4 linked regions of the Drosophila melanogaster genome follow. Changing the gene in region 2 together with the main gene of any one other region gives a genetic interaction. Each region holds a gene or a part of one and is shown on either strand. Other genes may lie near its edges. The genes, in order: Hsp27, Atg7, Acn and Ire1.

What was found.
Region 1: of Atg7 (region 2) and Hsp27, changing one suppresses a phenotype caused by changing the other (phenotypic suppression), as found in Drosophila melanogaster (one study listed by BioGRID).
Region 3: of Atg7 (region 2) and Acn, changing one suppresses a phenotype caused by changing the other (phenotypic suppression), as found in Drosophila melanogaster (one study listed by BioGRID).
Region 4: of Atg7 (region 2) and Ire1, changing one suppresses a phenotype caused by changing the other (phenotypic suppression), as found in Drosophila melanogaster (one study listed by BioGRID).

What each region holds. Positions count from the first base shown.
Region 1 is NT_037436.4:9,382,199-9,386,202, reverse strand, and holds Hsp27 (heat shock protein 27), read right to left. Parts: upstream 2,141-4,004; 5' UTR 2,018-2,140; coding exon 1,376-2,017; 3' UTR 509-1,375; downstream 1-508. Other genes in the region: Hsp23 (heat shock protein 23), read right to left, coding at 3,645-4,004.
Region 2 is NT_033778.4:18,619,949-18,626,827, forward strand, and holds Atg7 (Autophagy-related 7), read right to left. Parts: upstream 5,097-6,879; 5' UTR 5,012-5,096; coding exon 4,815-5,011; intron 4,759-4,814; coding exon 4,237-4,758; intron 4,180-4,236; coding exon 3,967-4,179; intron 3,836-3,966; coding exon 3,691-3,835; intron 3,630-3,690; coding exon 3,282-3,629; intron 3,222-3,281; coding exon 3,057-3,221; intron 3,039-3,056; exon of another isoform or gene 2,983-3,038; coding exon of another isoform or gene 2,697-2,982; intron 2,641-2,696; coding exon of another isoform or gene 2,053-2,640; intron 1,936-2,052; coding exon of another isoform or gene 1,844-1,935; exon of another isoform or gene 1,593-1,843; intron 1,385-1,592; coding exon 1,091-1,384; intron 1,008-1,090; coding exon 891-1,007; intron 827-890; coding exon 773-826; 3' UTR 518-772; downstream 1-517. Other genes in the region: CG5335 (uncharacterized protein), read left to right, coding at 1,844-1,935, 2,053-2,640, 2,697-2,982; Sec6 (secretory 6), read left to right, coding at 5,395-6,366, 6,432-6,879.
Region 3 is NT_033779.5:19,043,613-19,049,317, reverse strand, and holds Acn (acinus), read right to left. Parts: upstream 3,964-5,705; 5' UTR 3,752-3,963; coding exon 2,271-3,751; intron 2,167-2,270; coding exon 1,956-2,166; intron 1,899-1,955; coding exon 1,664-1,898; intron 1,603-1,663; coding exon 1,493-1,602; intron 1,405-1,492; coding exon 1,222-1,404; 3' UTR 501-1,221; downstream 1-500. Other genes in the region: CG10470 (uncharacterized protein), read right to left, coding at 1-31, 83-143; Ttc19 (tetratricopeptide repeat domain 19), read left to right, coding at 4,415-4,948, 5,001-5,164, 5,235-5,382, 5,435-5,698.
Region 4 is NT_033777.3:19,855,288-19,862,873, reverse strand, and holds the start of Ire1 (Inositol-requiring enzyme-1), read left to right. Parts: upstream 1-1,582; 5' UTR 1,583-1,859; coding exon 1,860-1,988; intron 1,989-2,112; coding exon 2,113-2,227; intron 2,228-5,189; coding exon 5,190-5,633; intron 5,634-5,691; coding exon 5,692-5,914; intron 5,915-5,971; coding exon 5,972-7,241; intron 7,242-7,328; coding exon 7,329-7,493; intron 7,494-7,555; coding exon 7,556-7,586. Other genes in the region: CG4572 (uncharacterized protein), read left to right, coding at 1-152; Mrm2 (mitochondrial rRNA methyltransferase 2), read right to left, coding at 479-1,231.

The sequences.
Region 1 (4,004 bases), on a different chromosome or scaffold from region 2:
TTGTGGTGTGTCCTTTTTAGTCTTGCTCTCTCCGAGCAGCGCGGCAACACTCCCGTTTCTTCTTTTAAATTCTTCTTTCTCTCGTGCTTCGGATGTGTTTTGTTTCTTAACTTCTAAGTCAAATGAAATTTTAAAAAATTGATCTGTGATTAAGCGTCATTGAATATACATACATAACGTGCATAAATGCAAGCAAAAACATATTGACAGCAGCCGCAGCCGTAGAAAATGCAGAAAAATACATAAAATACATTTTTACTTAACATCAACTAAGATAAAACCAACAACAGCAACATGACAACCACTAAAAGCTTTTTCGCGGTTAACAGCGAAAGCTCCACGGAGCCGAGAAAACTGAGATATATCCGTATCTCAACACCCAGCTGAGAAATATGAATGAAAGCCGTTTTAGATATAGATATAGAATTAACAGTAAATACTTATGATCGCTACAAGTTACGAGCATAAAACAACCAATATGAAATCAGAACGGGCAACTAAATTTTTTATTATGTATTAAATATTTAAATAAATATGTGCAAACAATTGATTAAATTATTTAAATGTCGTTCTTATCTTGGATTTTCTTTCAGTGTGCGCGGAACTGGAAATATTTGCATGACGTTTGTCAAAATGTAATTGAAAAACAAAAATCATTTCCCATTTTTTTTTATATCGATTTCTGAATTGTGCAAAATCATTACAAATCATCATAACAATCGTCGACAAAGGTTAAGCAATTGGCTGACCATTTAATTTTCCACAAGTCCAATTCAAGGACAAGGAAAACAGAATATGTACATAAGACCCCTTGAAAGTTAACGACACCCAACAAAAGCCGGTTTACCCTAAATGCAAATACATTTGCAGATTCGAAGCTAAAAAGGAAAAAAAACCAACAAAAACTCGACAGCTGACTTCTTTTCGTGTATTTGTATTTATTGTATTCGTTTATTCACAAATGAAATGCAAAATTCTCCCGAGTGTTGCGCCTGTTCTTGTTACAAAAAGTATAAACTCAAAGGGAGCAATGAATCCTCCAGTTGTTTAGCCTAATAATACACACTAAAATTTTGTTTTTTTTATGCATTATGATAAATGGAGTTTAAAATCACTTAGTCTAGGATGTTATGATGATGATGTAATGATGTGATGTGTGTGAATGTAATACATTGGGTGTGTTGTGGTGTGTCCTTTTTAGTCTTGCTCTCTCCGAGCAGCGCGGCAACACTCCCGTTTCTTCTTTTAAATTCTTCTTTCTCTCGTGCTTCGCCAGCGAATCTCGTCGTCTTCTTCCTCCTTCACGACTTCTTCCTCTTCTAGTCTTCTTCCTCTTCTCGTCTTCTTCATCTCCTAGTCTTCCTCTTTTCGTCTTTTACTTGCTAGTCTCCATTTTCTCGCCGCTGCCATTTTCGGCTTTTCCATCGCCAGCCTCGGGTGCCGGTGCCTTGACGCTCAAATGGGCAGGCCCCGTTTGCTGGATCTGGACAATGCGCTCCGACTTGGCCTGTTCCTTGCTGGGCGGCGGCGGGGCCTTGAGGGTCAGCACACCGTCGGATGAGACAGTGGACACTACCTCGTTGGGGTCAAAGCCCTTGGGCAGGGTATACTTGCGCACAAAGTGACGCTGGATCATTCCATGGCCGTCCTCGCGCTCCTCGTGCTTCCCCTCTACCACCACGGTGTTGTCCACCACCTTGACGGTCAGCTCGTTGGGCTTGAACTGCGACACATCCATGCACACCTGGAAGCCATCTTTGCCCACGGCGGGCAGCAGAGCGTTTGGACCCCCCGACGCGCGACGTGACATTTGATTGTGGTGGCCATGGCTCCTCTCGTACGGCGAATAACGACGACGACCCAGTCCCAGGGTGTTGGGCAGTAGCAGGCGACGCGGATGGAACAGATCGTGGGCATGGACGCCAAAACCGAAGTCATCCTCCAGCAAATGCCCCCAGTCGGTGCGGTAGTCATGATCCAACTCCCGGGCCAAGTGCAGCAGTGGTATAATTGACATTTTTGATTTTTTTTCTCTTTATTCACAACCCTGTCTAGACAAAGGAATTTTTTTTGCTTTTTCGAATTTTTTTAGCGAAGTTTGCTTCAACGTTTGCCTTCAATTTTTCAGTTTAGACTGTGCTCGGGCGACGTTGACGCCGGCTTTTATACTGACGCTGGGCTCACACACACTAGTGCATGGCAACCAGGGACGGAACTTTAATAAAATGATGGGGGGTTGCCATCTTCGTTAGATTTTGCCTGCAGAGAAGGTTTTCCCTATGATCCCCTAATGCAAATATAATAATATTTAGATATAGGCAAGCAATTATTAGCCTGTCAAACTTAAAATTTAAGCGACATTTAAAAGCCCCTTTGAATACGCCCCGTAATTCAACAAACAGTTTTCTCTCGCATCTTCTGGCTCTTTCTAGCACAGCCGGCTTTTCATAGAGAGAGGGAGAAAGAACCAGAAACTTCTTGACATTTCTTTTCTGGGGAGTTTCTCTTTGCGAATAAAAAGCAAAACGAACAGTTAAAATGCAGTACATACATATGTATGTACATGTACGTATATATGCAGATATATGTATTTATTTAAAGCATTTTCTTCTCTTATCGCTCTTTTAAAAGCTGTCTTTTCAGAGTGCAACAGAGCTTGTATTTTCATTGGACAAGTGCATTGAACCCTTGTCTCGCTTCGTTCTGCTCCTCATGTTTGCCGTTCTTTTGTTTGTTGCAAACATTTTTGCAGTTGCTTTCGCCACTGCTTCGCGAAGTGGGAAACGGGGCAATTGAAAATTTTGCAAATCATTGCCAGTCTGTTGCAAGTGTTTCGATTATTATATGTACATATGCATACATTTCTATATATATGTATATGTGTATATAGAATCTTTTTATTCTTGGTTCACCAGTTAACCAAAATACATAATTATTTTCAAAACTACATGCATACATACATATGTATGTGTATGTGTGCATGCACGTAATTATTTGCGGTAACATACAAAAATGAAGTTCAATTTATACATGTACATAGGTACGTGCTATAAGGACGTACATAACGTACATCTCTTGTAGAGATGACAGAAATTCATTAAAAAGAAGAGAGTGAAAAGGGATGTATATTCTTATGTACGTATGTATGTACATGATGTACTTATGCATGCTTTACATAAGGATTTAACCTTGACTGAAGTTCCTTACATTCATAGCTTCAAGTCTCTTTACCGAAGTAATGTAAAAAGTCAGTTATGTACACAAACAACAATTAAATAAAAATGCCATTTTACGTGACACAACAATGCAATATACAATGCAGAAAGTAAATTCTAGAAACCGGGATCACAGGAAAAAGGGCCAAGCTAGCCAAACAATTCCCAAAGTAATAGTAATAGTAACCCATAACCAACCAGAAAAACAGACCAAACACAATTATAAGTAAGTGTACTTGTTATTTATTTTTATGGGTAATATTAATTTCGCCAATTTAGTAATACATATTCCAAACTAAGATTAAAGCAGGACACCCTTAATGGCTATTGTGTATGAGTGAAGTGTCCTTGGATAACTACAGCTTATAAAACAGATGTATGACTTTGATAATGGTTAAATAATGCAGGGCATCTCTCGGAACGAGTCCTCTACTTATCGTTGCCATTGTCCTGCTCCACCGCCTCCTTGGGATTCTCCTTCACATTGAGATGGGCGGGTCCCACCTGCTGGATCTGAACGATGCGCTCGTTGCCCTTATCCTCGATTGCCGGTGGCTTGGGCACCTTGATGGTCAGGACACCATCGGAGGACAAGGTGGAGGCCACCTTATCAGCCTCATAACCGGGTGGCAGAGCATAGCGGCGGACAAAGTGACGAGTGATGAAGCCATGGTCATCTTCGCGCTCCTCATGGTTGCCCTCCACCAGGACGGAGTTGTCCTGCACTTTGACCACCAGTTCGCTGGGCTTGAAGTGCGACACATCCATGCAGACCTGGAAGCCATCCTT
Region 2 (6,879 bases):
ATTTAAACATTTTATATTCCTGGACTAAAAATATAGTTTTAACTTTACATATCTCTTTAAAGTATAACATTTGTGAGCGTATTTCTAGGATGTCATCTACTTTGACCGAGACATAATAAGCAAATTTACATATGCGATTAGTTCGTGGCTTTCTAACCAGGTTTATTCAACTTTGAACTATTCTTTTCGCATACCTGGCCCACTATGTAAATCATTTGCATATTCCCAAAACAATTTTATACGAACATTCATCTTTGTTTGCGTGTTTTCGCCTTGAATAATGCAGCTAATAACATATTCAATGACCGATCGGGAATTGAAAACAATATTTTGGTATTTGTCAACCACAAAAATGGGAATTCTCAGATCAGAATAATATTTTCGCCTATAAATGAGTGCTCTTATCAGCAGAAACACGTTTCGTACAAACAAACAAAGCTTAAAGGCTGCGACTTGTAAATTGGCGGAAATACATTTGTTCCCGTACTTAAGCACTTTTATTATAACAATTTTCAATAGTAAATTCACACTTTTATTATTACAATTTTCAATAGTAAATTCACATTTTTCTTATGCCTAATTTTCACATCAATTTCATTTGAATGATTCACAATTTGCTTAACGACTAGATAGAATAAAAGCATTGAAGTACACACATTTTTGGTATAGACATTGAACTATAAATGCTGCAGAAAATTAAAGCCACAATAAGCTGAATTTCATATTTAAGATATTTTGCTTTGAAGATAAAACTTGACCAATTTTGTGGAACCTAATCCTCGTCGCTATCGGACATGTCAAATTCTTCATCATCAAAATCGATAATCTGTGCAAAAATATGAATAATTTTTAAATATCTCCATTAGATTAAACACAGGAAACAAACAAACCTCGCTGTTTAACCGCTTGAATTCGGAGATTCCCGTCAAATCCTCCAGAAACTTGGCTGTTTCAAAAGTTTTAAACAGGAAAGCATGACCCTCTTTTTTATATTCATTTAGGACGGCCTGTAAGCGAATATATTAAAAAAAAAATTTTAACAATATTGAAAACGCTATCAAAACCATTTTAAAAGATTGTCAAATCTTACCGCTGAACAGGCTATGCACTGAGCAAACTTTTGAGTGGCGGGCAGAATATTCTCGTAGTTGCACAGCATTCCACGGATGGAGTGAGGCAAAATTCCTAGCAGACCCTCCGGCACCTTTTCTTCCGTCTCCTCCGACCTGCCACGCCCACTCTGTGCATAGTAGGCGGGTGCCAGCTCCTTACGAGGATGCTGCAGCAAAGCCACCAACAATTCCACCGCATAGCTGGCCGCAATGTTGGATACTCCGGGTCGTGTCACTGTGCACTGTTGATCCAAAGTTCGGTCTTTGAGCGACTGAAAATGGAATAGAACGAAATGCAATGAGTATCTGTATCCAAATTTGTACGTACAACTTTATAAAGCGAGTCTATAAGAGATTTTTTTATACAGAGTTTTTTTCAGTGTGATTTGGAGCACATTCGACGCCGGTGCAGTAGTACGATCAAGAGCTTTTGAAAGCTTTTCTGTGTCCACAAACACATGCTCCGAGCAAACAAAGATGACGCCTTCGGGCGAGAACAAAACAAATAGCAGCGCTTAAAAACCAAAAACACAAGATATAGAAAACTTCGGCGTTTGTATCGGTTACTTGAGCAACCCGCCGCTCCGCCCATCACTGATTAGATAAAGTTTTAACATTTGGGAGAGCCGGAGAACTCCGGACTCTCCCACGGAACTATAAAACACATTTTGCGCTTGATTGTTCAGTACAAAGGCGATAGTTAGTTGAATTGGTAATTGCAGGAAGGAATCATGTTGACCGAATTCGCTGGCAATCTATCGCATCCGCTGGAGTTTGGTCATGTTCTGGAGGTCGTGGCCAAGACCATCGATGGAGCAGCCAGGTAAGTGTTGTCCGGCATTAATGTAAGACCGCTTTTCCGTTTTCTGACTAATTACTTGTCAAATTGGGCTTCTTATCAGTACGTGACTAATCGATTGTGATCATTTGGTTCGGATAGGTTCCACATTAACCTCTGCACGGCCAAGAGCACGGTCGATCCGAACGCAGATATTGGGCTACGCTTCTCATGCTATTTTCGGAACGATGTGATCGTTCGAAATTCCCGGATAAACGGCGCCTGGGGCGAGGAGGAGTCCCATGTCATGGACCCCAACACCCTGCCCAATCCCATCGTCAGTGGCGAGTTCTTTTTGGTCTACATTCTTTGTTGCGAGGACAGCTTTGCCATCTCGATAAATAGCCGAGAGTTCTGCAGATTCCGCTACCGCATGCCGTTGGGAACGATTCGTGCTCTGGAGATCCGTGATCAGATCCAAGTCATTAAACAGGTGGATCATCGTACTGTGTTTCCAAATCCGTGGCCAGCCGTTCACGCCTCGGACTACTTTAAGGCGTTCAGTAACGATCAGCCAATTTTGTTTAGTCCGGGCCATGTGATTGTCCTTACAGCTCGGTGTTTCGAGAATAAAAAGGGACAGTTCATAATCAAGTTCATGGACTCGGATACCAAGCGCGAAGAGCTACACTTCAGTGTGCGTTTCGATGAGAAGGCAGTAGTGCGCAATTCCATGAACAAAAATTTTGAGTAAGTTAACTTTATAATGCCGTACCTCTTTGGGCGTTAACTAATTCTTTTTATAGATTCGGAAGCGAGGAGCGTCATGGAGGTTTCCCCTTCGTCTTTAACCAGCAATTCAAGCTGGCGCTTGCGTTTACGGAACGCGAGGTTTTGACTGCAGTGGACGGTTATAACTTCTTCAGCTACACCTGGCGCACACCTAATGCCATGATGAATCTAGTGGGTTTCAAGGTGACCAGCATAAATGGCCTGGTAGTGCAGATAACTGGTGTGGATCACCTGCAGACGGGGGATCCTACGTGCGCTGGCTTCGAAAAATATTCCCGCCATGATTACGAATGCGTTTAGTAACCATGTTAACCCAACTAATGAAGTCTGAAAATACAAATGTTATCTTAAACTATACAACAAATGGGACTTACATTTCCAGGGGCCGTAACATCGTTACAAAAGTAGCAACCTAATTGATCGCCATTAATGCACTTAAGTCCTTCGATTTCTTGGCCATCGTCGCCTGCTTCCTTACGCGTAGTGCCATGTCGCATTACCAGATAACTGTCAAAGCCTAAAGCTGCGTTGATGACAATCTATAAGGGAAACATTTTAGGTACATCTCTTCTGAAAGGTGAGTATATGATTGTTCCCACTTTTTCCTTTGCCGCTCCAAGCAGGGTGGGCAGCCAGCGGCTTTCGCGCGAATCTGTGAGCAGAAAGATGACATCATGGTCCTGCACAAGCTTTTCGATAACCTTCAAATGCTCCTTCGTCTGGGCTAGAAGCGATTCTCCAATAGTATGCCCAGGCATGGGAATCTCCAGCACATAACCCGCCGTTTCCGCAGACGGATTGATCTCTTTCAATCTCTGAGCAGCTGTAGTCGCCTTCATCCGATTGCCTGCCACAGCATCTGCATGCGTGTAGAGATTCTGACGCACTGGATTAGAGAACCCAACCTTGCCGCTGTCCAAAAGGGTTATGTGCTTAAATCCCCAGGACTACAAAATAAATAAACTATTAGTTATCAGATCAGTTAAATCATTTCGTATAAAAGCACACCAGCAGATTTCTAGCTACAGCGCATCCTAAAGTACCAGCTCCAAAGAGCAGGCATTTTGTTTGGGAGATGATTTCGAGATTGAGATCGGGAACAAGGCGCCACTTCATTAGTTTCAGGTTCAGGTTTACAGAGTTCTCAGCGAGTCTACGGAAAGAAATATTGTTAAATTATAAATAATAAACAAGTTACTTTCAACTGTCGTGGTAGCTAACACTAAGGACACACCTCAATGAACTGATAGTTCTTATCATTTAAGTCTATAGCTATTAACTTACTTGGCTGGATCCATGCTGTCCCTCATGCACACCATTCTTGGCCCCATTTTGCCATTTTTATTTAGCTCCCAGCCCACGAACTTTATATTTTCGCTTTGGCTAAGATCGCAAGCTTCAGTCTGAATCACCTTCCATACAAGGCTGTCATCGATGTTCATTTGTTGATTGTGTCGCAGGCCAAGAAACTTCAATGGTTTTCCAACAAAAGAGGGACTGTAATAGACCGACAACTGTGTGAACTGATATCATAACATTGCTATTCCTACCTACCATTGCTGAAGCAGAAAGGCAGCATAGTTTCGCATTATCCAAGCTGGATGCTCATACTCGCTGGGATCAGCAAAACCAAAATAACAGAACTCAACATTTTTATCGTCAAGGGAACTTAAACTACGGGCTTCGAAAATGTTCTTCTCCACATTAGCATACAGAATGAAGAAGTTCTGTGACTCAGTGGGTAAGGCCTTTAGAGCCATTATATAGCTACTACTATTGGGCAAGTCCCGCAGTTTTTGGACGGCTCCCTGAAGCTTTAAGGTGGGCGTCAGCGGGCACGGAAAGGCGAACCAATAGTAGTAGCTGTGACACTTTAAATCGGCAAAGGAGAGAACAAAGAACCGGGTCAATAGACTGGGATCTCTCAAGGCGCCACCACTGCACATATCAGCCAGCAGTTCCTTGCCCTCATCGGCCAGCAGTTGTAATTTGTCCAGGGCCTTGAACTCTTCGATTGTGTTCTTATTGTAGATGGTGCCTATAGCGGAATGGCTGAATTTTGGAGGCTTTGCCATTCTGGAATGTGGGTGGTCAAGCGCTGGTTTCATCAAACTCGTAGTTTTCAAGCTCACCTGTTGTAGGCCGTGTAGTCTACTTCCAAAAGGCATCCACTTGCATTACGATTTGTGTAGTGTCCAGTAATGGAGCGTTTCGAGTCGGACAGGCGATCGTGGTCGAGCTTAAGCTCCGCTAGCTTGTGCCAGAAAGTGGGCGACACAAAAGATTCCCACGGAGCAAATTGCAAAATTATCTCTTTTTCCGTGCTCATGTTTTGCTTAGGGCGTTGTTTACGTTCAAACGTTTGGCTGCAAATTATAAACAAACAAAGCTCTCGATGGCGATAGACCAATGAGAAGATAACTTATCGATAAGTACAGTTTTCCATACTTAGGTCGAATCCTCTGTTGCTTTGGCAAACTAAAAGATATACTTTAACTTCATAATTTTTTAAGCTTGAAGAATAAAATAAAAATTTTAAGACACAATAAAACTATAATAATTTTAAGAGTAGAATATAGCTTATTGTCAAGTTACACTGTAGTTCTTGGAAGTGAGATTGTCAGCCGCACTGCTATATGGTCACACCAGCACTTCCACTGCTGACGAAGATTGACCAAAACAGAGACTGAAAGTGATCCAAATAAATTGAAGATGGATTTACAGCAGCTGGAGGAGCAGGCTCGCCAGGCAGCGCTCAAGGACATACAGAACATGTTGCAGCGACCAGGTCAACTGGAGAAGGTGGAACAATATCGCCACCGAATCGCCCGGAAGAAGGCATCCGTTGAGGCGCTCCTTAAGACCGGAATGCAAGGACAGCTGGACGGGGTCAGGGTGGGACTTAAGCAGTTGGAGACCTGCATGCAGGACGTGCGCGAGGTAAGGCGTCGAATGGACGAGGTGGAGCGCCTGCTGAGGGGCGTTCCCGAAGTCTACGACGCTTTGGAAGTTGTGCGGGAGGAAAACACAAAGCACTCCCAGTACGCCACCGCCATGGAGAATCTGAAGCACATCTTCAACGTAGATGCCAGCGTACAAAAGACGATGGCGCTGATCGAGGATGATAAGCTGCTTAATGCCCATCAGTGCCTGGCGGATCTGGAGAATTCGCGGGATGATCTTCTCTACGAACTGCACAAGCAGCCCAAGCAGCATGCGTCCGACAAGATCACCCTAAAGCGTCACTTCGAGAAGGTTGACACGGTATCCCAAGAGCTGGAGAAAAAGCTGCGACTCATTCTTAGCCGCACGCTGAACACTCTGCGCAAGAAGCCCACCATCATCGTTACCGCCCTACGCATCATAGAGCGGGAAGAGAAAAACGACCAGTTCGCGTTGCAGCAGCAAAAGGTCACAGGATTCCTGCCGCCTGGAAGACCAAAGGCTTGGCGCCGCATGATCATGGACGTGCTACAACAGTCGGTGATAACGCGCATAGAGGGATCCAAGCTAGAGGAGCGGGCCGATAACAAGATGTGGTTAGTACGAGACCTGGAGATATTGCGTCAAATCATTCTCGAGGATCTGCGCGTTGTGAAGTCCCTTTGTGTGCCCTGCTTCCCGCCGCACTACGACATTTTCGGCGAATATGTCAAGTTCTATCACGAAGGACTTTCTAGCTATGTGAGTAATCGTCAATCATTTAAATTGATTAATGTTTTTATACCACTAATATTTACTAATTCCAGCTTGACAACATTGTGCGCTCGGGCTTGGAGGGCAATGAATATGTATCAATGATGGCTTGGGTTACACACACCTATCCTGGCGTCGAGCTGATGTCCCATCCGGATCTTAATGTGGATGTACACCGACAGATAGGTACTCTGCTGCGTCCGGAACATCTCAAAGCGCTGGAAGATGAATATCTGCAAAATATGCAGAGAAACTTCCAGGAATGGATGACCAAGGCCGCAGAAACGGAGAAGCAGGAGTGGTTTACTGAGACGGTGCCCGATCAGGATGAGGAGTACTACCACACTTCAGCGCCTGTCATCATATTCCAGATGATCGACCAGCATCTGCAGGTGACCAACACAATTCATCAGGAACTGACGTTCAAGGCGTTGGTAATGAGCATTCAGCAGGTGGAGATCTTTGGCCAGACATATCTTAAGAACGTAATCGAGCTGAAGG
Region 3 (5,705 bases), on a different chromosome or scaffold from region 2:
TCCGTCCGGTAAACCATCACCCATGTAAGACCTAGGCAAACAAATATGTAGGGTTAACTAAATTAACTGGCGTTTTACTTACCTTCGCCCAGGAAGGCGGTGCAAACCGATATAAAAACAATTAATATTGTGTCGGACCACATTTTTTCACTAAATTAATGTTAATACAAATTAAAACTCATCGATAGCACTATTGACATAAATCATTAAGCGGCTCCGATAGCTTATTAACATGGACTATCGATTAAAACGAACTTATTGTTGGGGGTATTCTGGTACTTTAACGGACAACTTCATTTATTCTTTTTTAAGTTTAATCAATAAATTAGACTCGCGATTATTAATAAAAGCAGTGTTTTTACTAAAAATTGATAAGGAAAAGTAAATAAATGGCAAAAAGTTCATACTTTATAAATCTGACCTTATATATAAATTAAAGAGTATTAAAATTATAATAATATGCTCTAAATACCATGATTCTTACGAATCAAAAACATTTTCTATAATTTTGAGGAATTACATTCTTTTCTTTTTCTGTTCGAATAAGTCGTGCGATAAGCATATTTCTCAGACATTTAAAACACATTTTTGGGTTTTGGCATTGTCACAAGCTTGCCGACTGATGTTAAATTGTATTTCTAAGTTCATTAAAATTTTAAGAAATATTTGATTTTACAATATTTTAATCAATTATTTTATGTTTGTTTATTGAATAGATATAAGCATGGTAACTTGCTGCAGTAGTTTCAAGAGTCCGATGGTAAGTTTCCATGGCGTTGATGCTGATCTGATGCCGGCGCATTTCTGGTTGCTGTGGTTTCGTTTTGGGGTGAGGTGACGTTAGGCGCTGTAAAATGCTACATTTGAGGAAAGAAATCAAATCAGGTTATATATATATATATGGAAATATATATGCTATATATATATGGAACAACAACAATGAGAAAAATAACGAAGAAAAGAGAGTTTGAAATCTCAAAATCAGAATGTGGATGAGACGTTGGCGAAAGTATTCAATTTGAAGTCGGTTCAGTTCAAGTTGAATATTACAAACGTCGGCCTAATTGGGAACGCAAAACGCTCGAAAGAAAAGAATTGAAATTATTCGGGTGGTGATGAGACCCTGCTGAAGTTTTAGTTGCTGTTTCTTGAAGTTTTTTTTTATATGTTGATTTAGTTTTTGAGATATCAACATTTATTTGCTCAATCTCAAGCCTCCGCCTAGTAACGTCTTCGCTCCCGCTCGCGACTGCGAGATCGTCGCCGTTCGTTGGAACGATTGCGACGCGTCTCGCGCTGGCGGTCACGATCCTTCTCCCGCTCTTTCTGGCGCTCCTCCCGTTCCTTAATACGCAGCTTGTGCTCCTCAATGCGTTTCTGACGGAATGCCTCCTTTTCTGCGATCTGAAAGCCGGAAGAAATTTTATTGTTCAGGCGGACTTGGTCTAGAAGTGATTCTCGTTGATTGGAACTATTTATCTCAGCAACTTACCGCTTCCGGCGTAAGTGGCAGCCAGTATATGCAAGGTGTTCCCTTGGTTTTTCGAAATAGATCATCTAGTAGTCTGATAGGCGGTTCATTCTCCTTCTTAGTTTTGGACGCTATTTAAACGGGGTGTTTTTGAATTTCTCATGACAGGAAAATGTATCCCACGGGCTTTACCTGGCGATCCACTGCGGCTCCTTGCATGTGCATTGCGATCAAGTCGCTCCCGCTCCCGATCGCGTCCTCGCCCCTCTCTGTCCCTAGAACGCTTTCGTTCCTGTCCGGCTCGCTCCGCATCCCTAGACCTCGAGTCCAGTCGATCCTTGCTGTCCCGACGCCTGTCGTTGCTGTGTTTGTCGTGGTCGCTTGGTTCCTTTTTGCCAACATCCCATTCGCGTACAGGTCGCGCAGGCTGAAGGAAAAAGACAAGTTAGCTCCGCATTTCTATGCTGTGATAATAATCCATTACTTTTTTGTCAGACGGTTCCAACCGGGACCAAGCGTTGCCCGACTGCTGGTTATCTCTGGTGTTTTCCTGCCCGTACCTCGGAGCCTCGTCCTTCGTTGAAAGTATTGCCCGATCCATATCAGTGCGACTGCCAAAATCTACATTCAAACATTTGGGATTTGACACTGGCCAGCGAACTCCGTGCAGGGCATGTCGGGTTTCGATGGCCTCGCTTAAAGGTTGAAAAGCAAAATAATTGCAAGTGTGAGTTTTTTATAGGCATATTTCACTGACTCCCTGGAGATTAGGTTCTATTTGCGCAACTACAATACTTACTCTTCAGTGGAATAGGCAACATAGCACTTAGACTTGATCCGATCTATCCAGAAACCATCTTCCTCAACGATCTTTCCCGTCCGCGCCAGCAGGCCTTTCAGCTGCAGCACTGTGAAGGGGCGTACCAAATTGGTGATATAGAGCACGTGGCTGGCGCGGTTTCGAGCAGGACTAGGGTCACGGACTATGTGTGGTGCTGCCGTGGAAACTGTGGCTTTGCTCAGGCTGACCTGGGCTGAAACCGTGTCTGCTGCTGCTGGAGGAGCGGCTCCTGCTCCTTCATTATCTGCCGACGCCTCTGCGGTGGTGTCGCAGGTGTTGGCGGTATTGCCCTTGTTATCGCGGTCTTTGCTTGCTTCAGATGGGGGCGCCGGTGAAGCAGATCGCTCTGAATCGCGATCGCTGGTGACCAGGCCTTCCTCCTCTGAGGACGATTCCAGTTGCACATCGCTTAGGGGCACTGGCTGCACCACATCGGCTATAATGTTCTTCAGGGAATCCGTCGAAATGGCAAGCACGGGCGGGGTACGATCCGAAGACTTTTTGTTAGTCAGCCACTTTCGCTTCCGCACCGACCGTTGTTGCTGCAGAACTGGAGCACCGGTTGTGTTGGTTGCGCTGCTGTTTAGACATGGATCGTGCTTGTCGTTCGAAAGATCTGCTGGTTCATCGTGAATTTGTTCTGGGTTTTCGTCTATCTGCTTGTGGTTTTCCTTGTGTTCCTCCTCCTCTGCGGGTTGCTGTTCCTTTATCTGCTCCTTGTGCCTCTTCTTGGTTTCTCTGCGCTCCGCAGGAGCGGAGGCTTCTTCGTCCCTTTCATCGACCTCTTCTGTCTGAATGTCTAATACATCACTAGTCGTTTTTAGATGTTCCTCATCCTTGCTGGAAGGAGAAGGAACCTTTACCTCTTGTTCTGGCTCGCTCTGCTTGGTGTCATCATCAGTGGAAGTGGGGACCTCCTGCTGCGGTTTTAAGTCCTCTTTCTCAACATCATCATCCTTGACTACAGCGGGTTCAGCACAGGATTCATCGTCTTGAGCCTGCTGATCCTCCGTCTTGGCACGGTCCTCGGACTCGCTCTCATTAGCCGCGGGTGGCGCTACAGTCTTTTCCTCCTCGACAGCGTCCTTTTCAACATCCTTTCCATTCTCCGGCTCCTCCTCGGGTATGGTGTCCACCTTCTTGTCGCCGCCCTTGGACTCCGTGCGCTTTCTAGGCGTCGTCCGGCTGCCGCGACTCCTGCGCACTGGCGATGCTCCAGATCCGGCACGTTCTTCACTGGATGCCCGCGCCTCATTGATTTCTTGAGAGGCTGGCGGTACTTTGGGGCATTCGGCCTCATTATTTTGGGCCACGACCGGAGTCTCGACCTCGGTCTTCTCGTTCTCCGACACCTTGCGGGAGCGGCGACTTCTCCGTGCAACTGCCACCGGCACCGGAGCGGGCGACGACGACTTTTTTCGCTCGCTGCGACGTCTCATGGCTGTCCGAAAATCGCTGGAAACTCGCTGCGACGCTGGAAAGATCTGAAATAAAACGTAGGTACAGCCGGCGGACCCACAGCTATTTCATGCACTGCTTTGCGAATTCACTCCTCGTTATATTCTGCACCTTTTCTTGATAAGAAAAATAATTTTACTAGGCGAAAGAGCGTCAATCCGCCATCAATATACAGGGATGCTTTCTCTCGGTCTATCGCCCCGCTGACGGCTATCGATAGTATCGTATGCGATGGGGGAAGGAAGTACCTTATTACGAAAAACTTTATCAAATGTACTTAAATGTTTTTTATTCGAGATTGTTAATAACTCTACTTATCAATTTATTTTTGTTCGCAGATTTAACTTATGAACGAAATGTTAGGTACCAAAGTTGCCGATAAAGTTTTGTTTGACAGTGTCATCTCTAAAAAATTTAAAAACCTTTGTTTACGAAATCTTAACGAAACATAAATATATTTGCGAAAGTATGATAGAGTAGAAATTATTTAAAAGTCTTCTATGTTCTTAATCAAGCGTTACGAAATGTACTTTTAAAACGTCTTTACCGCGCTTTGCAACACTACATACGTGCTATTTCATAATTTTTAATACCATACCTGCAACATTATAGGTTTTAGTTAAATAATTAATAAAGCCCTAAACATGTTAGTGAGAAATATTTGCAAGTTTACGCAAGTTATGGGCAGGTTCCGCGTTGTCGTGAATCCCAGAGATTACTGTCATCTTGCGCCGCTGAAGAGAAGCCGTTATCACCAACGGTCAGAATTCGGATGTCGACCGCTGTGCTCCAATGCTGCGGGCTACGAGGTGTCCTGGGCAGCTCCGCCCGCTTCTGGCTCTTCCGGTGGAATGTTTTGGGCATTTTCCGCTGCTTTCACTCTGAATCTGTTTGGTGGCGCCGACGAAAAAGAGGAAACTCCGGAGGAAAAACTGATCAAGACCATCAAACGATCAATCCTGTGCATTCAGAGGGAACAGTACGACAAGGCCGAGCAAATGCTTCACCTGGCTCTGCGAATGGCGCAGGATATTCAGAGCAAGGACGGCATCACATATGTGTTTGATCTGATGGCCAATTTGGCCATGGAACGCGAGCAGTTTAAGAAGGCGGAGAAGATATTCACGGACGTTATGAAACGGCTTTTTGCCGAGGGTCACACCGAAGAGAGTCCCAAGGTGGGTGACCCACTTAGACACCATAACCAGTTAAGATCTCTTTCATCTTTAGATACTTCACATCAGCTCCAAGATAGCACACATGTCTCAGCTGCAAGGGGATCTGGAAAAGAGCTTTCAAGGGTTCACTTGGACCTTGCAGCAGTTGGCTAAGCTACTGGAGAAAATGCCCGACGACAAGGACATACTGGAGCTGTATGGCTTGACAAAGAATTGGTATTGAAGGTGTTTCCATTGCCGCTAACCAAGCCTTTTTTCAATACTTTTCCTTATGTTTATTTTCCAGGTTCGGGCAGCTGCTGATGAAGCAGGGAAAATACCTGGAGGCTAAAAACCTCTTTAAGGAGGCCTTCGACACGCTCATAAATGTTTATGGTGCCGTTAACGACGCCTCTGTAACCATCCTAAATAACATCAGTGTGGCGTACGTAAACGTAGGTGCGTCTATTCTTCCAAAGTACTTGAAACACATTAGACTAATTACAGCTGGAAAAGTACGCCGAGGCAAGGGAGACCCTTTTGGAGGCCATGGAGCTGACTAAGGAGCTAAAGGATGCCACCCAGGAAGGCATTCTGCAGGCAAATCTGGGTTTGGTGTATCTTCGCGAGGGCCTGATGTCGCAGGCGGAGAACGCTTGCCGACTGGCGTGGAAACTGGGAAAGCAACACCAGAATCCCGATGCCGTAGAGCAGGCCGAGTATTGTCTCAACGAGATAAAGACAACCCTGAATGGAGAGAAGCGCCAGTGAGGATTCT
Region 4 (7,586 bases), on a different chromosome or scaffold from region 2:
TGTGGCGCGTTGGGAAGGAAGTGGCCGGCTATGTCAAGCACGCCGGACATCTTGTGGAGATCATGGTCCGCAATGCCGGGCACATGGCTCCTCACGATCAGCCCAAGTGGCTGTACATGATGATTGATCACCTTACTCATTACAAGCACTAGGAAATGCGTACTTAAACTATTCAGTACAATTTGGAGACCAAATTTAAGCCTTTGTTTTTAAAATTAATCATGAATAATTTGGTGTGAGTTTTGAATGCATAAATATGTTGATGAGAGCATTGGGTTGTTAATACTCAACTAAATTCATATAATTTGTTACAGAACTGTATATAACAACAAAGATTAAAACATCAAAAAGAAAATCAACAAAAATGTTGAGATGAAATTAATCCTAGGTTACTTCCCTTTAGTTATTCTATCCAATATAAGCTACAGTCAATTAACAAAGCTTTTAATTCAACTAGTCCAAAAAACGCAGTTAATAATTAACTATCCGTTGCTCCTTTAAAGTTCCTGGCCACCAGGAAGTGCTCGGCGGAGTCTCCGCGGCTAGCGCGCGGTTTTACTCTCTTCACTTTCTCATAAAACCTAAGCATATCTCGCTCCAGCTTGGGCACGTCGCCATTATCCCACACCTTGACCACCAGATGGGCCTGCGGAGCAGACATGGCCAGGGCAAAGCGCAGCACCTCGTAGCAGAGGTTAGTGATGCTCTCCTGGTCCAGCATCCTCACTCCGGTGGCATTGGGTGCCATATCGGACAGCACGCAGTTGACCTTTCTGTCTTGTAACGCTTCCCTCAGCCGCTTTTGTGCCAGCGAAGAAGTGAAATCCATGCCGCCAAAGATTGTGGCACCCGGCACAGCATGGAAATGCAACAGGTCGATGCTAAAGACGGCTCCCTGTGGCGCCCGCTCCTGCTTTCCGTTGGCATTGGTCCGCTCCACGGCCACCTGGGTCCAGCTGCCAGGAGCAGCTCCGCATTCCAAAACTGTGTCTCCGGGCCGCAGTATTCCGTATTTGTCGTCGATCTCCAGTAATTTGAAGGCACTCCGGCAGCGATAGTTCATCATGCGGGCCTTCTCCACGTACGGATCCGCCAGTTGGCGCGTAAGCCACTCCTGGGAGCTCTTGCTCCGTCCTTTGAGGTTCCGCGGCTGCTGTTTGGCATACTTTCCGCCTATTTCCGTGTGCAGCAGGCGTTTAAAAACACAATTACCCGTAAAAACAAGACGCATTGTGTAATATCGAAATTAGATCGCCTATCGATTTTTATCGACCAAAGTCAATACAAGTTCTGGGAAGTTTACACTGCAAGCGCAGAAACTCCAAAGCTCACATTATATTACCACGTATATGTTACAATTTTATCCATGTTGGAATAAAAAGATCTTTTCACATTTAAATTGATTTTATGGCAACAGCGATGGGTAACAATAAGATTTCCATTGCTGCCATCTCAAGCGTCAGTGTGAATGGGATATTATTTCGTTGCATATTTGGCTCGTTGCGTGCTCCCTGGTCACACTTCAAACCAGTACGGTCTTTTCCCAATTATCTGCCCACTGTCACTCTACTCCGCTCACTCGACGAACTCTCAACTCAACAATGGCGAACGTAATTGGAAAATATTGAACGCGAGTGCGAAGAAAATGTGAAATTTAGCACGGCCAGAGCTGCAACAGTGTTTGATGATTGAAAAGTTTTGAAAAAGAGGCGATAATATGCCACAAACAAGAAACGAAAACTGACTAAACGTGCAAACTGAATACGGATCGGAAATAGCAGTAACTAGTTCCCTCTCTCTTTCGCTCTCTTTTCTCTTCTAATACCCCCGCCCCGCGCCCTACCGGTTGCAAAAACAAAATGAGATTCTGCGTTGTTGTTTGTTGCGTGTTATTTTTGCTGGCCAGCGGGCTTATTGCATCAGCTACAGCAAAATCACAACAGGGCGACTCGGCAGAAGTCGTCAGCAGCGGCGAGGATGAGAAGACGGTAAGTGGGGGCGGCACTGGGCCGTATGACCCACTAAGGGCTAACACTGGACTACCAATGAATATTTCATCACCTTGCCCGATATGTTGTTCATAAGTTTCTCTCGCTCTTCCACAACCCGCAGGACTGCACGGACCTCGCCCGCGACGAGGAGGCGCTGATGGTGTTCTCCACACTGGGCGGCGGACTGACAGCCATCGATCCGGTGACCAGCGAAATACGCTGGACAATAGCAGATGGTAATTACGCGGGCACTCCGCTGTCCTCCACACTCACTGCACCCCTATTTTCCGGCCACAAGTGTGGGACTCGAAACATATGATGGGCAAAGAAGGGTCCTTATTATCAAAAGTGGGAATTTTCCAGCATATATCTCGGGAAATGGGTGTTTTTAGGTATCTAAATACTTTAAAGATAAAAAAACAATATGGTTTTGTTATTGAAAACATTCGAACTGGAAGCACTAAGATCTTTCATAAATGCAAAGTCAGGAAAATTTAATTGTTACCGAATGCCACATTAAGAATATTTTTGTTTTGTTTATTGTTTTGCTCATTGAAATGTGAGAATGTTTCTTTAGACCATTTAACAGCTAAATTTAAATCGTTTTATTTGCGTTTATTGTTGTTTTAAGCTAAATCTAGGAGTCTTTTTTTTTTAGGGAAATTGCCGCTTTATTTGCATAGTAGATTTAAAGATCTTAAGAGATCTAGCTATATATATATATTTATTCCCATGCTGTCACCACCCCTCCTGGAAAATTGCCACTTCACCAGGCTGTTGCACTCGCCGTTTGAAGTGCGAAATGCGTAGCACATGCATGCGCTCGATGAGCTCATCGCAGATTTCGTATCTGCCAGATGTAAGAGCCTAGGATAGATCTTTCCACCGCCTTTCGTGCTCTATTATTTTCACTCTCGCCATTAATGTTGTGTATTGTGCTGCGGGCCTGATAAGGTCCCGCGTCTAGCGCAATCTCGACAAGCGTTCTCGGCACACAATTCCACCAATTAAGTTGCCAGCCAGTGCGCCATATCACCAGTTGCTGTTCCCCCATACCCTTTCCGCAGTGGGTGGTTGGGACTTTGAGCCATTTTCCATTCGGTTCATTGAATATTCCCATAATTTCTCAGCGTGACGTATTGATTTTCGGTGGCTCTCAAGTGCGTTAATCTTGTGGTCATTTGGCTGCTTCGTATTAACCTCTGAGATTAGCTGGCATATATAAATGAGTCACCAGGAGAAAGATGTTAGTAAATTGCGCGATTAAAGGGGTTAATGTGCATAGCTTTCGTTTGAATTGGTGCACTTGTTGGCTACCATTAGTATTATTATGTTTGTTTAATGTGTATAGCATTCAATAGATCACTAAAATGGGGCTTCACTTATCTAATTAAAAAGTGAGGGCATTTTCAATTCGAATTATCGAATATTGCTTATAAACCTGGTGCTATTTTTATTTTCACTGGCTTTGTTGATTGATTTTCCACTTCAGAGCATTCATATTCGCCTGATAAGTAATGCCTCAAGAACTTCCTTTAATTACTCCCCAACTAAGTATTGGAGTTATGCCAAATGACTCTCTGTGGACAATACGCCCTCCACATGTTTGTTTAATTTCTGAAATAAAAAACCCACGCCCCGTGAAGATTATTTTATGTGATAGCTGCAATACACATGTATGTCCATTCGTATTATTAGAAATTTCATGCTGCCCGCTTGTCGCCGGGCTTCGTGGAACTGCAAATGATTGAAAATTCAGGGAGACAAACATGTGGACAGCATCTGACTAGCGGTTTCATGGCAGAGCGCACTATTTGGGCAGTATTTTTCCGAGTCATTCAAGCCAATAATATGTTTTTGATTCGCGGTAATTACACTGTTTCGCCGGCTCTAGCACAGCAGATCGGTGTACCGATTTGTTAGGTTCTATTACCTCATCACGAGACGGAATCAGGTTTTGTCTACGACTACCGCTAGGCAATTAGAATGCTCATGCTAATGAAAGTGCTGCGGCGAGTTAAATGACCTGCCCCAGAAATTGCGGCAACATTCGGTTAATGCCGGGAATGTTTTTGGGGTTGCAACTAATTATTGATAAGAATGGACAGTACATCGAATTGTTTGGTTTCATTACTCGATATTGGTTGACGACCATCTTTCCTGGCAATACTTGAGTTTTGTTTAAACCATTTCGTCAATATCGTGCATGCGATGATGGTCTCCATTTGCATTCGACAAAGTCAGAATTTAACGCTGTTGCCTCGCGCGAATTGTTGGCGATAACAGAAAGAAATTGCCAACACGACTGGCGTAAACACTTTGGATTTGATCAGCCAGCCATGGGTCCCCCAGGTCTATTTCGTATTTACCCAACTGCTGTTTGCTTTGGCTTTGTCTGCCGCGCCAAAAAGCCGCTTAATTTATTCGGGCCTTTTGGTGGAAAGTGTTCACGTTCTTTAATGTGCACCAGAAAATGTGCTCTCCGCTTGGGATGGGGTTAATGTATAGATTACATTTTCGTTCCCATCGGTATAAGTATGTACATACATCAGGAGATAAGCGTTATCGAGAACAGGTTCTGGTTATAATTTATTATATTTCCCTTACTTTACTCCACGTTAGTTGCACCGATATCAGGAACTTTTTATTGGAATTTGTTTACTGTGCACACTTAAAATAATTTACTGCAAAAGGGGTTCATCACTCTAAATTGAAAAGATAATAATAATAAGTATACTTGCTAACTAAAGCTGAGTATTGAATAATAATCTGGAATTCAGAAATTTCTGCTTAAACTAAAATTTTTAATTGATAACAGTGGGATTTTTTAAAATTCGTCAAAAATAGACATGAAATGTTCATTACTAGTTAATACTGGGTAATAAAAGGAAATAAAAAGAAGCAAAATAAAACTAAAAATATTGTTATTGCCGGCTAGTCAAATGTGTTTTTGGCGCGGAGTATATATATATTAGGTTATCTTGTCGTAACAAAACAACTTGTAATGAATTCGATGCAGTATGCGATTTGAAAGTTTAACACCACTCGGAATACATTTTGTGTGATTTTGCATATATTGTGCTTTTACATGGATGCAAAGGAATCGGACTTTATCACGATTTCGAATTTGCAATCATGTTTATTACTTTGTTTTTCTTTTATGATTTTACTTTTAAGCTATAATTGTATTTCTTTTAGATCCTCCTATAGTAGCAGAACATCAGGAGAATGTTCAGGTTCCGCACTTTCTGCCCGATCCTCGAGATGGCAGCATTTACCAGCTGGGTCAGATGGGCAGTCTTAAGAAGTTACCGTACACCATTCCCCAACTGGTGGCCAATGCTCCCTGTCGTTCCTCCGATGGAATCCTGTACTCAGGGAAAAAGAGCGACACCTGGTATATGGTGGATCCTAAGACGGGCAGACGCGAAAAGGTTATGGGCTTTGGCGATGCCACAGTGGATGGTAAGGAGGGCGAGCAGATCGGCTGGGCCACTTCGCGGGCCATCTATCTAGGCCGGACTCAGTACACGGTCATGATGTACGACAGCCTGGCTAAGAACAAGGATGCTAAGCCATGGAATATCACATTTTACGACTACAATGCTGTGAGTGCTCCTCCTGAGCTGGCCAAGGAATATGGTAAGTGCATCTCATAATATAAGAGTGTACACATTTGCTTATGATCTCCCGCACGCAGAGTATATACATCTGACCACCACCACCAATGGACAAATTGTGACTCTGGATCGAAAACACGGTAAATTTCTGTGGCAGCGCGATCTGAGCAGCCCAGTGGTGGCTGCATTCCTTTTGGGACCAGACGGGCTACTCAGTGTGCCATTCACCACGGTCTCTGATGAGGCTTACCAGGCCATCCTCGAGGAGTCGAAAACAGGAAATGTGAACACCGTGAAGCTATTGTAAGGGACATACGATATTCGTCCTGAATTCCATATTAATTGTAATATTTTCAACAGCCAATCCCTTTATGTGGGCGAACATCAAAAGGGCTTGTATGCCCTGCCTTCGCTGGTGGACAAGAACACGCCTCGTATTTCCACAGCACCACCTATAAAACTCCTGGATGGACCTACAGGAGACCAGAACAGCAACCAAGAGACAGATCCGCGCACCATTTACATTAACGATGTGCTGCAAGAGCATGCAGGAATTATGTTGGGACACTACAACATGCCCAATGAGGGTAATGGTAACCTGCAGCTGTCACCGACGACAGCCAGCAGCAAGGTGGTTCAAAGTCTGGCCACCATTCACAACTATAACGATGGCTACGGCCTGTTGGCCAATAATGAAAAGAACGCCGCCGACATTGGCGTGCAAACGGATCCCGAGCTGGTCGAAATTGGCATTGATCAGCGGACGAATGGGAACACCATTAATCGGACGAAGACAATAATACTGCAGAACAGCAATAAGGTGCAGGCCTTTATCAACGAGTGGTTTATGGAGCATCCTAGCGGAAAGGTGCATCAGATTCTAATTGTTATCGTTCTGGGTATGATTGCCTTGTTCTGGTACACCTGCAGCACAATGAGGGAGCTGCAAAAGCAGAGCGAGAATGGTTCAAAAACCTTTGCCATAGCCCAAAATGGATCCAATGGAAGCACTGGCAGCAATGGTAGCAATGCGAACGCTGAAGACCTAGTGGACTTGGGTAATGGACAAGTGCGTGTGGGCAAGATCAGCTTCAGCACAAATGAAGTGCTGGGAAAGGGCTGCGAGGGTACTTTTGTCTTTAAGGGCACATTCGAGGAACGTTTCGTAGCCGTAAAACGGCTGCTGCCCGAATGCTTCACCTTTGCTGATCGCGAGGTGGCCCTATTGCGAGAATCGGACGCGCACGAAAATGTGGTGCGCTACTTCTGCACCGAACAGGATCGCCAGTTCCGCTACATAGCCGTCGAGCTGTGCGCGGCCACTCTGCAGGACTACACCGAAGGAGATCGCTCGCTGGAACTTCAAAATCACATCGATGTTTGGCAAGTGTTGAGCCAGGCTGCATCTGGACTTAGTCATCTTCACTCTCTCGACATTGTGCATCGCGACATTAAGCCGCAAAATGTTCTTATTTCTCTGCCAGACGCCAAGGGCAAAGTACGTGTCATGATCTCCGATTTTGGGCTGTGCAAGAAGCTGAATTTTGGCAAGACTAGTTTCTCACGCCGATCGGGTGTAACAGGCACCGATGGATGGATAGCCCCAGAAATGATGAGATCACAGCGAACGGTACGACATGATTTTTATTATTACCCTACACTACTTCTTCACCATCACAAGAACTTTCTAAAATCGATGTCTTTCAATTATTTACAGACAACTGCTGTGGATATATTTTCCTTGGGCTGCGTTTATTATTATGTTTTAAGTGGCGGTCACCACGCCTTTGGTGACAATCTGAAGCGACAGGCCAACATACTCTCCCACGAATACAATCTGGCCAAGCTGCGCCCAGAGGACGACAGTGAGGACAGCCGAATTGTAGGTTATCTTCACCAAAAAGTTATAGCTAGTTGTTCTAATTACTTCATTTTATTTTAAAGATCCTTGCTGAGCAATTAATATCGGATATGA